Arabidopsis thaliana: one gene and its partners. The protein of the gene in region 1 interacts with the protein of each later gene in a biochemical or structural test. Each region holds a gene or a part of one and is shown on either strand. Other genes may lie near its edges. The genes, in order: BZIP60, TRO and WDR5a.

Region 1 (3,760 bases):
AAGATTGGCTCGTCTGAACCCTAAATAATATCTGATGACAAAAAAAAAAAAAAAAAAAACTGTGATAATGTCAAATGAAGCAAACATGTAAAAACTAGCATGAGGAAAAGCTTTATCAATGTTAATCAACCTAATGAATTGTTATCTAGTAATTAGAAGTGATATTACCTGAAGTTATGCCTCAAAATCAACATTTTAAAGGCAGAAGCATTATTAGATAGATATCATCCATAACCATAAGACCCACATTCACTGTTAACTTATCGATATTAGACAGAAAACTTTCAACAGCGAAATACAAAACAAGAGAGAGAAAACTAAAAGACACTCATCTACAACTCAAAATGCGCAAAAGAAGCAGTTAAAAAAGGCGTTGTCACGCCGCAAGGGTTAAGATTTGGTATTTCATCCTAGGCCTCGAACCCTTACATCTCCGACTAACGCCGGTATAAGACGGTTTGCTACTACTCCCGAGCCCGTTTAGAACCAGCTTTTCTGGTTCTGGACGTAGGAGGCAACACTTTGTGTGGGACATATAAGGGAATAGGCAAATGAAGTTTACTCCCAGAAGCCAAAGCAGGGAACCCAACAGCAGGGATTCCAACAAGAGCACAGCAGACTCCTGCTTCGACATCATGGTAGTATTATTGCCATTACCCTTTTGCAAACAGTAACGTAGAGACTGGTTTTCAGCAACGAAGCACTCAAGCATACGTCCTAGTCTCAAGCATTCTCTTTCGAGATACTTACTCTTCTTCTCTAAATCTTGTACATATTCCTTCTTCCTCTCTCTCGATCTAACCGCCGCATCTCTATTTCTTACTCTCCTGAACCACAATCACATCCCAATTATCAAACCTCAGTTTCTTTTCATAGCATAAAAGGCTTTAACAATCTTAAGTTAACCAAAATACACATACCTATGTTTGAACATAATCAGCTCATGAATATTAACACAAGATTAACAATAATTAAAGGCAACCAAAATTTAAACAGTCATTTACTTAAATGATTAGTTCTCAATGTTGTTATCAAAACAATAACACACTTATAGCAATCTAAATGAAACAAAAATCAACATCACTCATAATCAATCAACTCTTCAACGTCACACATACATAAACATAATAACATGAACATATCACAAGATACGCAAGCAAAATTTAAACACTCGTTTCTCAAATCTTCACTGTTACACATACGTATCTCCTAGTTCTCAATGTTGTTCTCAAAGCATAACACACTTTTAACAATCTTAATGAAACCAAAATCAACACAAACATACAAAATCCATCCATAAACCCTAACTTTTCAAACAAGAGTAAAATTAGATATACCTTCTTCGTTTTTTAGCCACAGCATCATCGTCTCCTTCTTCGTCATCATCATCATGAATCTCGCTACCAGAATCATTAGACTTCTTCTCAACAACCAAATCCGAATTCTCCTTCCCGGAATCATCAGCGGCGGCGGGAGAATCGACGGTTAGAACTTTATCAGCCGCCAAATCAACGGAGCCAGAATCGCTAGTTGGATAATCAACGAGTAGATCCGCTATGAAATCTGAAACCGATTGCTGATCCAATTCCACAAAACTCTCCTCTTGATGATTCTCATCGTTCATCAATTGATTCTCGATTTCTCCGATCCATGAATCCGGTGAAGACTGAAGAAAATCCTCCGCCGGAAGAGAATCAATTACGATTGAAGGATCGAAATCGAAGAAGAAATCTTCATCTCCGAGTAAATCTATGCTTCCAAATTCCTCCGCCATGGTCAAAAAAAAAAAAATATACAAAGAAGAAAAAAAAAAGCGAATTTAATTTAAGAAATTGGAAGAGAGATGAGTTATATAGGAACTGTGTTTGAGACTTTTCTAAATTTCTTTGCGACCAAGTAAATGTGTAGAAAAAGAGTCAGCATGACACGTGTTGATTATGGACGCGTTTTTTGAATTTTTAGCCAATGATGTGATGGAGTGTACTGTGTTATAGTGTTTCTGTTAGCAGAGGATTATTGTTTTTATGTGCCGTCACACAACCAATGAGAAGGCTTCAAGCTGGAAGAATAGGATCACAGCCGAACACGTGTACTCAGTGAAGTGTTCGTGTGATTAATAACTCGGTTCTAATTCACTTCTTTTCTCTTGGTTTGATTTTCTTATTTTCGGTACAGTTATGTAAACCAGTTAGCTATAGTCAAAACGATGTACATGTAGTTGAGATGGACAATGAGACCAAGGAGAGCAAGGCTTCTTTGACCATTTCTCAGAAATCAATCAAAATTCTTCAGTCCCTTTTTCTCTTTGTCACCGTCAACATCTTCCACGATTGAATCTTTGTTCTCCGAGAGGACTTTTCTTCCTTCGTGACCATCTTCTAGACTTTGAAAGTTATCAATTTGTTAATTAAAATCATATATTATATTGTCAATTTATGTTACATTCTGGATTATCTTCCTTATTCAATTTTAAATGAGTGATTAATCTTCATTCAATCTCACATGAATGAATTTGTAAAATTTTCAGTTCTCTAGCAGATGAGTGAACTAATTATATATGTGAAAGTTGATCTACTATTTTCATATGAATGTCACGTTATTATTTAATTATTTTCTATGTGTTCATTCAATAATTAATGTAAGATTTACATTTATTATTAATTATTTATCTTTAATTGTATCAATTCTAAATTTATTTTTGTTATTATATGTATTTTAAAGAATAAATATATTTTACTATTTTCTTCATACTCATTTAAGGTTTATTTGCTAATGTTTTGTAGTCATAACTTAAAATAGGAATAGATATTACTATAGTGAATTAGCTAATGGTTTGGTAGCTTATTATCATTAATCTCTATCTAAATAATATAATACAGAGGATGAGGAGTATACAGAGATCCATCCTCAAATTCCTGATGTTTATATATTTCCAACATTAACATCTATTAAATTGTTTTACGATGAAAATTATTTCAAGATTGTGTGAATAATTACACTTTTTCAAAAAGTACTTAAAAAGTAGTTTAACATTAAAAGCAGTTGATGATTATATATTTTTCAATAAAATGTTAAATTATATTTTAAAAAAAGTAGATAAAGTGCAATTTCAATTAGAAACGAATAGAAGACAAGTTTTAAACACCAATAGAAATATTAAAAAGCTAGATGATGTTAGTTTTAACTTCTGGACAAAAACCAAATTTGGAGGTCGTATCTCTTGTCCCCAAGAAGTCTGATTGATGAGATTTGATTTTGGACTTGCTTATCAACCGAACTTGTCAATAATAGCATTAGTAATTATAATTTTAGTAACACATTATTTACATTAATTATAATTTTAGGACAATTGTATTAACCTGACTTGTGATCTAATGACGTGGTTCATAAAGTCACTTATCGAAAGTTAATAGTGTATATTTTCTATGATATAGTTCTTTTATAATGCTAATTAAATACCTATGAAGAAATATAAGGATTGCAAATTTTGTAATTAAACTAATAGAGAGGACTCTAACAAAGCTATTTAACTACGTAAAGCATATATTTCCTTTTGTATATTACTTTTTTGTTTGTATGTAAGCGGGAATACTTACCACATGTACTACAATTCCTTGTTCACCAAACTTCAAATAACTTCCCCAACGTCCTAAGTAACATCTTTAAAATTTGAAGAACATGATAGCGAGGGAAACTAAATTCAACGTGAATTTATTTTACTTGGTTTTACTCTACTTTTGTTACTACCAAGGTGAATTTG
Region 2 (3,760 bases), 2.9 Mb from region 1:
TGCCTGCATCAGAAGTAAAGGTATCGTTAACGAAAGATTGGTCATTAATCTTCCAGAATTGCACAGATACCATCTACATCATAGATGTGGAGGGTAGCAAAAACAAAACTAAGGCATTTATCTTTATGAAGAATCTCCACTATCTATTCTCTACCAAACCATGATAAAGCTACCATCACAAGCAACAACATTCATACACATTTTTAGTCTACTTAAAACATATGCGACTACCAAAAAGCAGAAAAGTCACCCCACAAGAACACGAAAATTAAAGAACAGGTGACGCATGACATACCTGGTACAACTTTAGGAGGCTCCTCTTTAGCATCAGGTGCACAAATATATCTCTGCCCTTTATAAAACACATAATGAGGAGGCTTTGGAGCAAAAGATTCACCATCAGGAAGATTTATGTAGAATCCAATAACATCACCTTCCTTGTACCCTTCCTCAGCATATGTCTCCCTTAAAGCCTTATGTATCTTACACCCATCAATATCCCTAAACCCAAAACTATTCCCATCATACCCAACTGGAGCCTGCAAATCCCCTTTATCAGTCGACCACCCGAGTCGTGTATGACCAGTCTCACCTAAACTCAAAACTTTAATCTCAAAGTACCAAGCTCCTTCAACAACTCCTCTTGTAGCTCTCACCATCCTATACCCTTTACTACTTCCTGCAGTAAGTCTATCTTCACTTATCTCAACTTTCTCAGCTTTGTATACTTTAGAAAGGCAAATTTCCAAGTCAGGTGTATCGTCTCCCTTATCGGGAAATCTAGGCACCGGAGTTATCAATACCTTATCTTCTACAGCTGCTGGATTCGGCGTGTTGGCTTTACTCTTCTTCTTTCCCTTACGTGTGCTCTTAGTCACCCATACATTATTGTTCTTCTTCTTCGATTTAGATTTCTTAGCCGCACTCGCAACCAGAGTCGCCGCTTCCTCCACAACCATAGCTTCCGATGGAAGCACTTGCTCTGGCTCCTCCTCTTCCTTAACAGCGACTGAAGTAAGACAATCTAGCTGCTTAAGCTTCTTATGCGGTGGATCATCTTGCTCTTCATCTCCTTCGTCTTCTTCCATTGCGCTACCGTTCTGATTAGCCACAGAATCCAGTTTCGGAGATTTAGGGTTATCGGAGGAAGAAGTAGTCGGAGCTTCTTCAGAGAATGAATCGGATTCAATTTTCAAATCGGATCCGGGTTGATCAACATCCATAGCTACTACATCTAATTTCTCTAAATCAGTATCGATTGGTTCTTCAATTATACCGGACGATTCCAATGGCGCTAAATCATTCTCTTCAGAAGGAAGAAGAGCGGTTCCGGTGGTAGTTCCTTCGAGAAGAGAAATTGATACTTCTGCTTCTGAAGCAGTTTCGATTGATTCTTCGACAGCATCGGATGATTCCGGCGGCGCTGAATCGTCCACCAGTTCGGAGGGAAGAAGAACTCCGGTAGGTTCTTCGGGAAGCGATACTGAGACTTGTGCTTCTTCAATTTTGGGATTTTGTTCAGCTTCTTCAATTTTGGAATTTGATTGAAGAGACTCCATTGAAACAGAAGTTTTTTTTGATGCAGCCAGTTTGTGGCACTCGCCGACTTGCAAATTTTTGAGAGACTGGCGGATGGCAGAGAAACAGTGAATTATTTTTTTTAAATGTTAGAGACTTATGTGGGCTTTATGAGGCCCAGTAAGAAACTAGGGTTTGGATAAGGGGTGTCCATGTTTTCTTAGTAGTTTAGTCCATTTAAAAATAAAAACGGTTTATGCATCTAACAATAGATTATTTGGCTTTCTCATATATTTTTTTCTAAACTTTTATACTATTATTTGGAAAGTACTATTATATAGAACATTTGAAAATAGTTTTACTTGATATTTTTAAAGAATGTCATCAATACTTAATAGATCAAAAAGTTAAAAAATTATAAGTACTCTAATTTGATCTTTTTATAATAGATATATTTATAATTGGTGGTGGTTAAATATAATGTATAATACGATGGAATGAGTTATTATCCTTATTCTTTACTAAAATTTGTTTATCCTATCGCTTGCATAAAAATATACATACTAATAAAAACTTCCGATTACTTATAAATTGAGCCAAAAACCAAATGCAAGTATTAAAACAACCACAAAATTTCAAAGAAGTAGGCATACGTCGTACAAAAAGTTCACAGCCTTCTTTATTTCTAAAGACGAGGTATTCTAGTCATCCAACATCTATTCAATCCCAATTTTCCAGGGAACCTATTCGGAATAACTCTTCTTTTGCTGGATTATTACCAATATAATCATAAAACAAAATTTTCAGGAATTTTAGCTCAAGCTTCTCGTAAAATATTAATAAAATCGATTTTTTTATTGTAATAAACTTAAAAATTAATTTCATATTATTTAAAATTATTAATTAGTTGAGAAAGGTCAAAACATGAGATTCATTGATGCATTGTATGGTGATTATGGGAAGGAAGTCACTGAAATTATTAAGAAGGATCCTAGTCTTGATTTAGCAAAACAAAAAAAAGGATCATGGTCGTGCATTGCCTACAATGATGAAGAAGAAGCAAGAAGAATGGAGTACATGCCTTGCTGAATTCAAGGAGGTATGGACTGAGATATATATGAAGAATTTTATCAAATTAATCCCTTGATCACAAAACATATGACAAGGAGAGCAAAGCTCGAGTGGTTAAGAAGGCTGAGAGAAAAGAAGGTTGAGGTTAAAGCACTTTCTGATTCCTCAATGCATGATGTGAAAGATTTAGAGATCTCAATGGACAAAAAGAGCTTTCTGTATATTCATGAGTTACGATTTTCAAGTATTTAATTAGATTACAAAGTCATATCTTAAAGAATCTATCAAAACTATCTATATATAAACAACTTTAACTCGAAAGATATGGAACAACTTCTTGTTCTGTTTATTGTGGAACATATCGCATTATCTGTTAATATGATGACAACTCTGAATCCTTTAATTCCTGTCGTGCGCATATTGTAATTGTTATATCATATTTTGGGGAACACAGAGATTTATGATTATTATTTTTTCAAGTGATACACGCACTCAATGCCCTCTTAGCATGCACTTTGTTGTGGTCCACTTTTCTTCCACGTTATATTTGTACGAATTTACCGCTTAACTTTTAACCAATGAAAGTTGTATTGGATCTCTCCTAAACCACATATATACGTGATATCATGTAACCACATATTATATATCTAATCATAGCTTATACATGACAGAGAATGGGGGATGGTGATGACCTCCATAATTATAGAAGTTTAATTAAATCATTAATCAAACACTAACATACTCAATTTATCAAACGTGATCCACACATTAATTACGAAAATATTTTTATAACTATTTATATTTAATTTTCGACTTAAGTCGTTGTGGGTTTAAAATTATCATCGTTAACCTTCCCAAGAACTTGTTGAAGATGATGAGCGATATCCTCCGGTCCGTGAGGTTCAAGCAGTGGTCGGTCCGGAAGAACCCACTGTCCATCGCCGTTCTTGACCATACCTTTGTTCTCATCTTGTCTCCAACAAGGCGGCACATGGTACTCACCTCTCAAGAAATCACAACTCTTATTCACTAAAGCTATGTCTCGCTTTGTCACCAAACAAAATCTCTTCTCTGCTTCTTCGTCTTTTCCATGATAACCATCCACCAAATGAAGCAAAGCTTCTAGGTTATGTGCACAACCCAAATCCTTAGTCGGTTTCAGAAATGGGCT
Region 3 (3,760 bases), on another chromosome or scaffold:
TAGTGATTTGTTTAGTCTATAATAAATACTAAAGAGATGTTATTGGTTCCTAAAGAAATTTTCATGACCTTAATAATATTATAAAAAGTAAATAAATGAAAGATTAATTTAAACTATTGCTAGAAAGTTGTTTAATTCTTATTGATTATTTTCTCACAATTTTGTAAAATTTTCCAAATAATATCATTATTTTGATGATACTTTCATGACTTTATTTTAAGAAGAAAAATATAGAAAGTTATATACTAATAACACAATAATTTAATTTATTAAACAATCATTGATTCTTTTGTTTTAATTGAATAACACAAAACTTTTAATGACTTTATAAAAGTATGAATCCAATAACTCCAAATTTATGAAGATTTTAAATTTTTTTTTACAAATTTTAAACTAATAGTACCAAACTTTAACAAACTTTTAAAAATATTAATTTGATAACAACAAATTTTACATAATATTTTAAGTTAATAAAACTCAAATTAAATCACAAACCAATAACACTCCCAAAATATCAATTTAACGTCACAAGTACAAGATTGAAACTCATTAAATATGTATGATGTATCCTACTATATTATTTGGGAAGTACATTTTAAATGTAACCTTAATTTTTGTAATTAATTACATGACAATGCCATTAGAAAAATTTAATCAAAAACAAAATCTTTTAATAACACATTAAGATTACCAAAATCATTTAACGACAATATTCATCTCTTAATTATAGGCTTATTGGATTTAAAGACGGGTCATCAAAGATTTTCTAACTAAAGCAAAATATACTGAATATTCAAATATCTATCTATTACCAAATTATAAACAATTAAGTTCGTAAAACAATTTAATATTTTATATACGAAATAAAGTAAATCTTAATCACATAAAAATTAGCACAAAAAAAAATATGGTACATTCAGGTCTATAGTATTTTTGCAAGACTTTTTTGGTGGATTTGGGTAAAAGTGCATTCGGGTCATATGGTACATTCACCTATTAAATAAATATGGTATACTCCTATGTTATTAGCTAAAATGTTTAGATTATAATTCAGAGTCATATCATAAATAAAATTACTATTAATAAAATAAATGGCTTTTTGGCAAGACGGATTTGGAGGGACGGGTTTTTGAATCAACATTAATAAAAAAAGTAAAATATAATTAATCCACCATTTCAATACGGGTTAAATCTTTAATTTATTATTTTTTAAGACCACTAATATTAAACATATCAAATCATCCTAATTTAGAAAAAATTATATAAAACCAAAAATGTTATGTGGTATGTATAATGTTACTATATATAAACTTAAACTATAAAATATAAATGTATTAGAGAATGATACAATTTGCAAAACTTTTATATAGAATAAATAATTCTTAAATTTTAAAAATTACTACTTTAAAAAAAAATCACGGAACGGGTAAAGAAATTACATAACGGGTTTTATTTTGGAATTGGGTTATATGGTGGATGTATTTGAATTAATATTTATAAAATTTTAAAATATTATTAATATGTTGTTTTAATAGGGGTTAAAACTTCAGTTTTTTAACAATTGTCTCATGGATTCGTGGTATAGTGTTACTTAATAACAATTATAAACTGTAAAATATAAATATTTTATAAAAATAAAATTTGCAAATTTTAATATATATTACTTTTAAAAAATAAATCATCCCCTGGTATACCGAGGGTTAAAATCTAGTCCATGATTGTTACGGCATACCAAACTTACATGATAACTAAAGAGTCTTAGGTTAAAACTGTGGTAGTCAATATATGAAGAGTGTTGTTGATTTAATTTGCGAAGCAAGAAAGAACTAAAATTTTAAGACATTCCAAAAGACTCTGTATCATTCTGAAGGTTTGAGCTTGGAAAGCGAGCACGTGAGTCGCTCGTGAAACTATATAATTTACGAAAACTCTAAATACACCCCAATAGTATTATTTCATTCAAAACACACCCCACAATTTATTTAAAAGAGTCGGGGTTTTTCCAAGAACACTGGATCGTCGTCTCTCTCCTTTAGTTAGACAAAGCCTCCTTTCCCAAAACCCTAAAATCAGCCAAATTCAAATTCCGCTAACCAATTTCCATGGCAGAGGAAATTCCAGCAACAGCATCATTCACTCCATACGTCCATTCACAAACTCTAACATCTCACAATCGCGCCGTCTCCTCCGTGAAATTCTCCTCCGATGGACGTCTCCTCGCATCCGCCTCCGCCGACAAAACAATCCGCACTTACACAATCAACACCATTAACGATCCAATCGCCGAGCCCGTACAAGAATTCACCGGCCATGAAAACGGTATCTCCGATGTTGCATTCTCTTCAGACGCGAGGTTTATAGTCTCAGCTTCCGATGACAAAACCTTAAAGCTATGGGACGTTGAAACTGGTTCATTGATCAAGACGCTTATTGGACACACTAATTACGCCTTCTGTGTCAATTTCAATCCTCAATCAAATATGATTGTATCTGGTTCGTTTGATGAAACTGTTCGGATCTGGGATGTCACTACTGGAAAGTGTTTGAAAGTTCTTCCCGCGCATTCTGATCCTGTTACTGCTGTTGATTTTAATAGAGATGGGTCTCTCATTGTTTCGAGTAGCTATGATGGGTTGTGTCGTATATGGGATTCTGGGACTGGTCATTGTGTGAAAACTCTGATTGATGATGAGAATCCTCCTGTTTCGTTTGTTAGATTCTCTCCTAATGGCAAGTTTATCCTCGTTGGTACACTTGATAACACGCTGGTGAGTTCACTTGTTGAATTCCTTTCAAAGATTTGATGTTTTTAGTGTGATTACTAGTTTTGCTCTATAGTGATCTCGAAAAAAAGCATGAAGATTTTGGGTAGAGTGTGTTAGTAGAAGTTTGATGTAGGAGAAGCCAATTCAAAACTAAGTTTACAGAGAAGTTGTTAGCTTTAAGTATAGTTCTGTTGTTGGTTGATATTCAAGAGTTTCGAAGGGTCGTATCTAGAGGGTTGTAGCTTCGAAGATACATCGTCGTTTGGAGTTTGATTAATTTGCATTAGGAAATTAAATTCTTATGATTCGTTATTAATGCACTCATCTCTCCATGAACTTAGATTCTAGGTTGTGTGTTAATAGAAGTTTGATGTAGGAGAAGCCAATCCAAAGCTATTTTTGCAAAAATTGTTATCTAGTTAAGGAAAAGTTGATAGCTTTGGAACAGTTCTGTTATTGATCGAGATTCAACACTTTTGAAGGGTCGTATTTAGAGGGTTGTAAGATACATCTTCTTTTGGTGTTTGCGTCTATAGGGTATTGTTGAATAAAGGAATTCTCATGATTCGTTATAAATTTGCAGAGGTTGTGGAACATTTCGTCTGCTAAGTTCCTCAAAACATACACTGGCCACGTGAACGCACAGTATTGCATTTCCTCTGCGTTCTCCGTCACAAATGGAAAGCGAATAGTCAGTGGATCCGAGGACAACTGTGTACACATGTGGGAGCTAAACTCCAAGAAACTGCTACAGAAACTTGAGGGTCATACTGAGACCGTCATGAACGTAGCATGCCACCCGACAGAGAACTTGATCGCATCAGGCTCGCTCGACAAGACAGTAAGGATTTGGACACAGAAGAAAGAATAAATCATCACTCTCTCTCTTCAGAAATCAAACATGTAGGTACATGCCACCTTCTTCATGCAGTAATCATCTGTTGCTTACTAAGCTTGTTAGATTGATTCTAGCCTCATTATGTAAAAGTCTAATT

The links.
Region 2: the proteins of BZIP60 (region 1) and TRO form a complex in vitro, tested with the Arabidopsis thaliana proteins (one study listed by BioGRID).
Region 3: the proteins of BZIP60 (region 1) and WDR5a form a complex in vitro, tested with the Arabidopsis thaliana proteins (one study listed by BioGRID).

Annotation. Positions count from the first base shown.
Region 1 is NC_003070.9:16,135,686-16,139,445, forward strand, and holds BZIP60 (basic region/leucine zipper motif 60), read right to left. Parts: upstream 1,779-3,760; 5' UTR 1,775-1,778; coding exon 1,338-1,774; intron 828-1,337; coding exon 377-827; 3' UTR 38-376; downstream 1-37. UniProt on the Arabidopsis thaliana protein: Transcription factor involved in the unfolded protein response (UPR). Acts during endoplasmic reticulum stress (ER) by activating unfolded protein response (UPR) target genes via direct binding to the UPR element (UPRE).
Region 2 is NC_003070.9:19,072,198-19,075,957, reverse strand, and holds the start of TRO (TRAUCO), read right to left. Parts: upstream 1,631-3,760; 5' UTR 1,560-1,630; coding exon 296-1,559; intron 4-295; coding exon 1-3. Other genes in the region: AT1G51440 (alpha/beta-Hydrolases superfamily protein), read right to left, coding at 3,404-3,760.
Region 3 is NC_003074.8:18,411,588-18,415,347, forward strand, and holds the start of WDR5a (Transducin/WD40 repeat-like superfamily protein), read left to right. Parts: upstream 1-1,976; 5' UTR 1,977-2,102; coding exon 2,103-2,768; intron 2,769-3,348; coding exon 3,349-3,636; 3' UTR 3,637-3,760. UniProt on the Arabidopsis thaliana protein: Forms multiple COMPASS-like complexes involved in histone methylation by interacting with different histone H3 'Lys-4' methyltransferases such as ATX1, SDG14 or SDG16.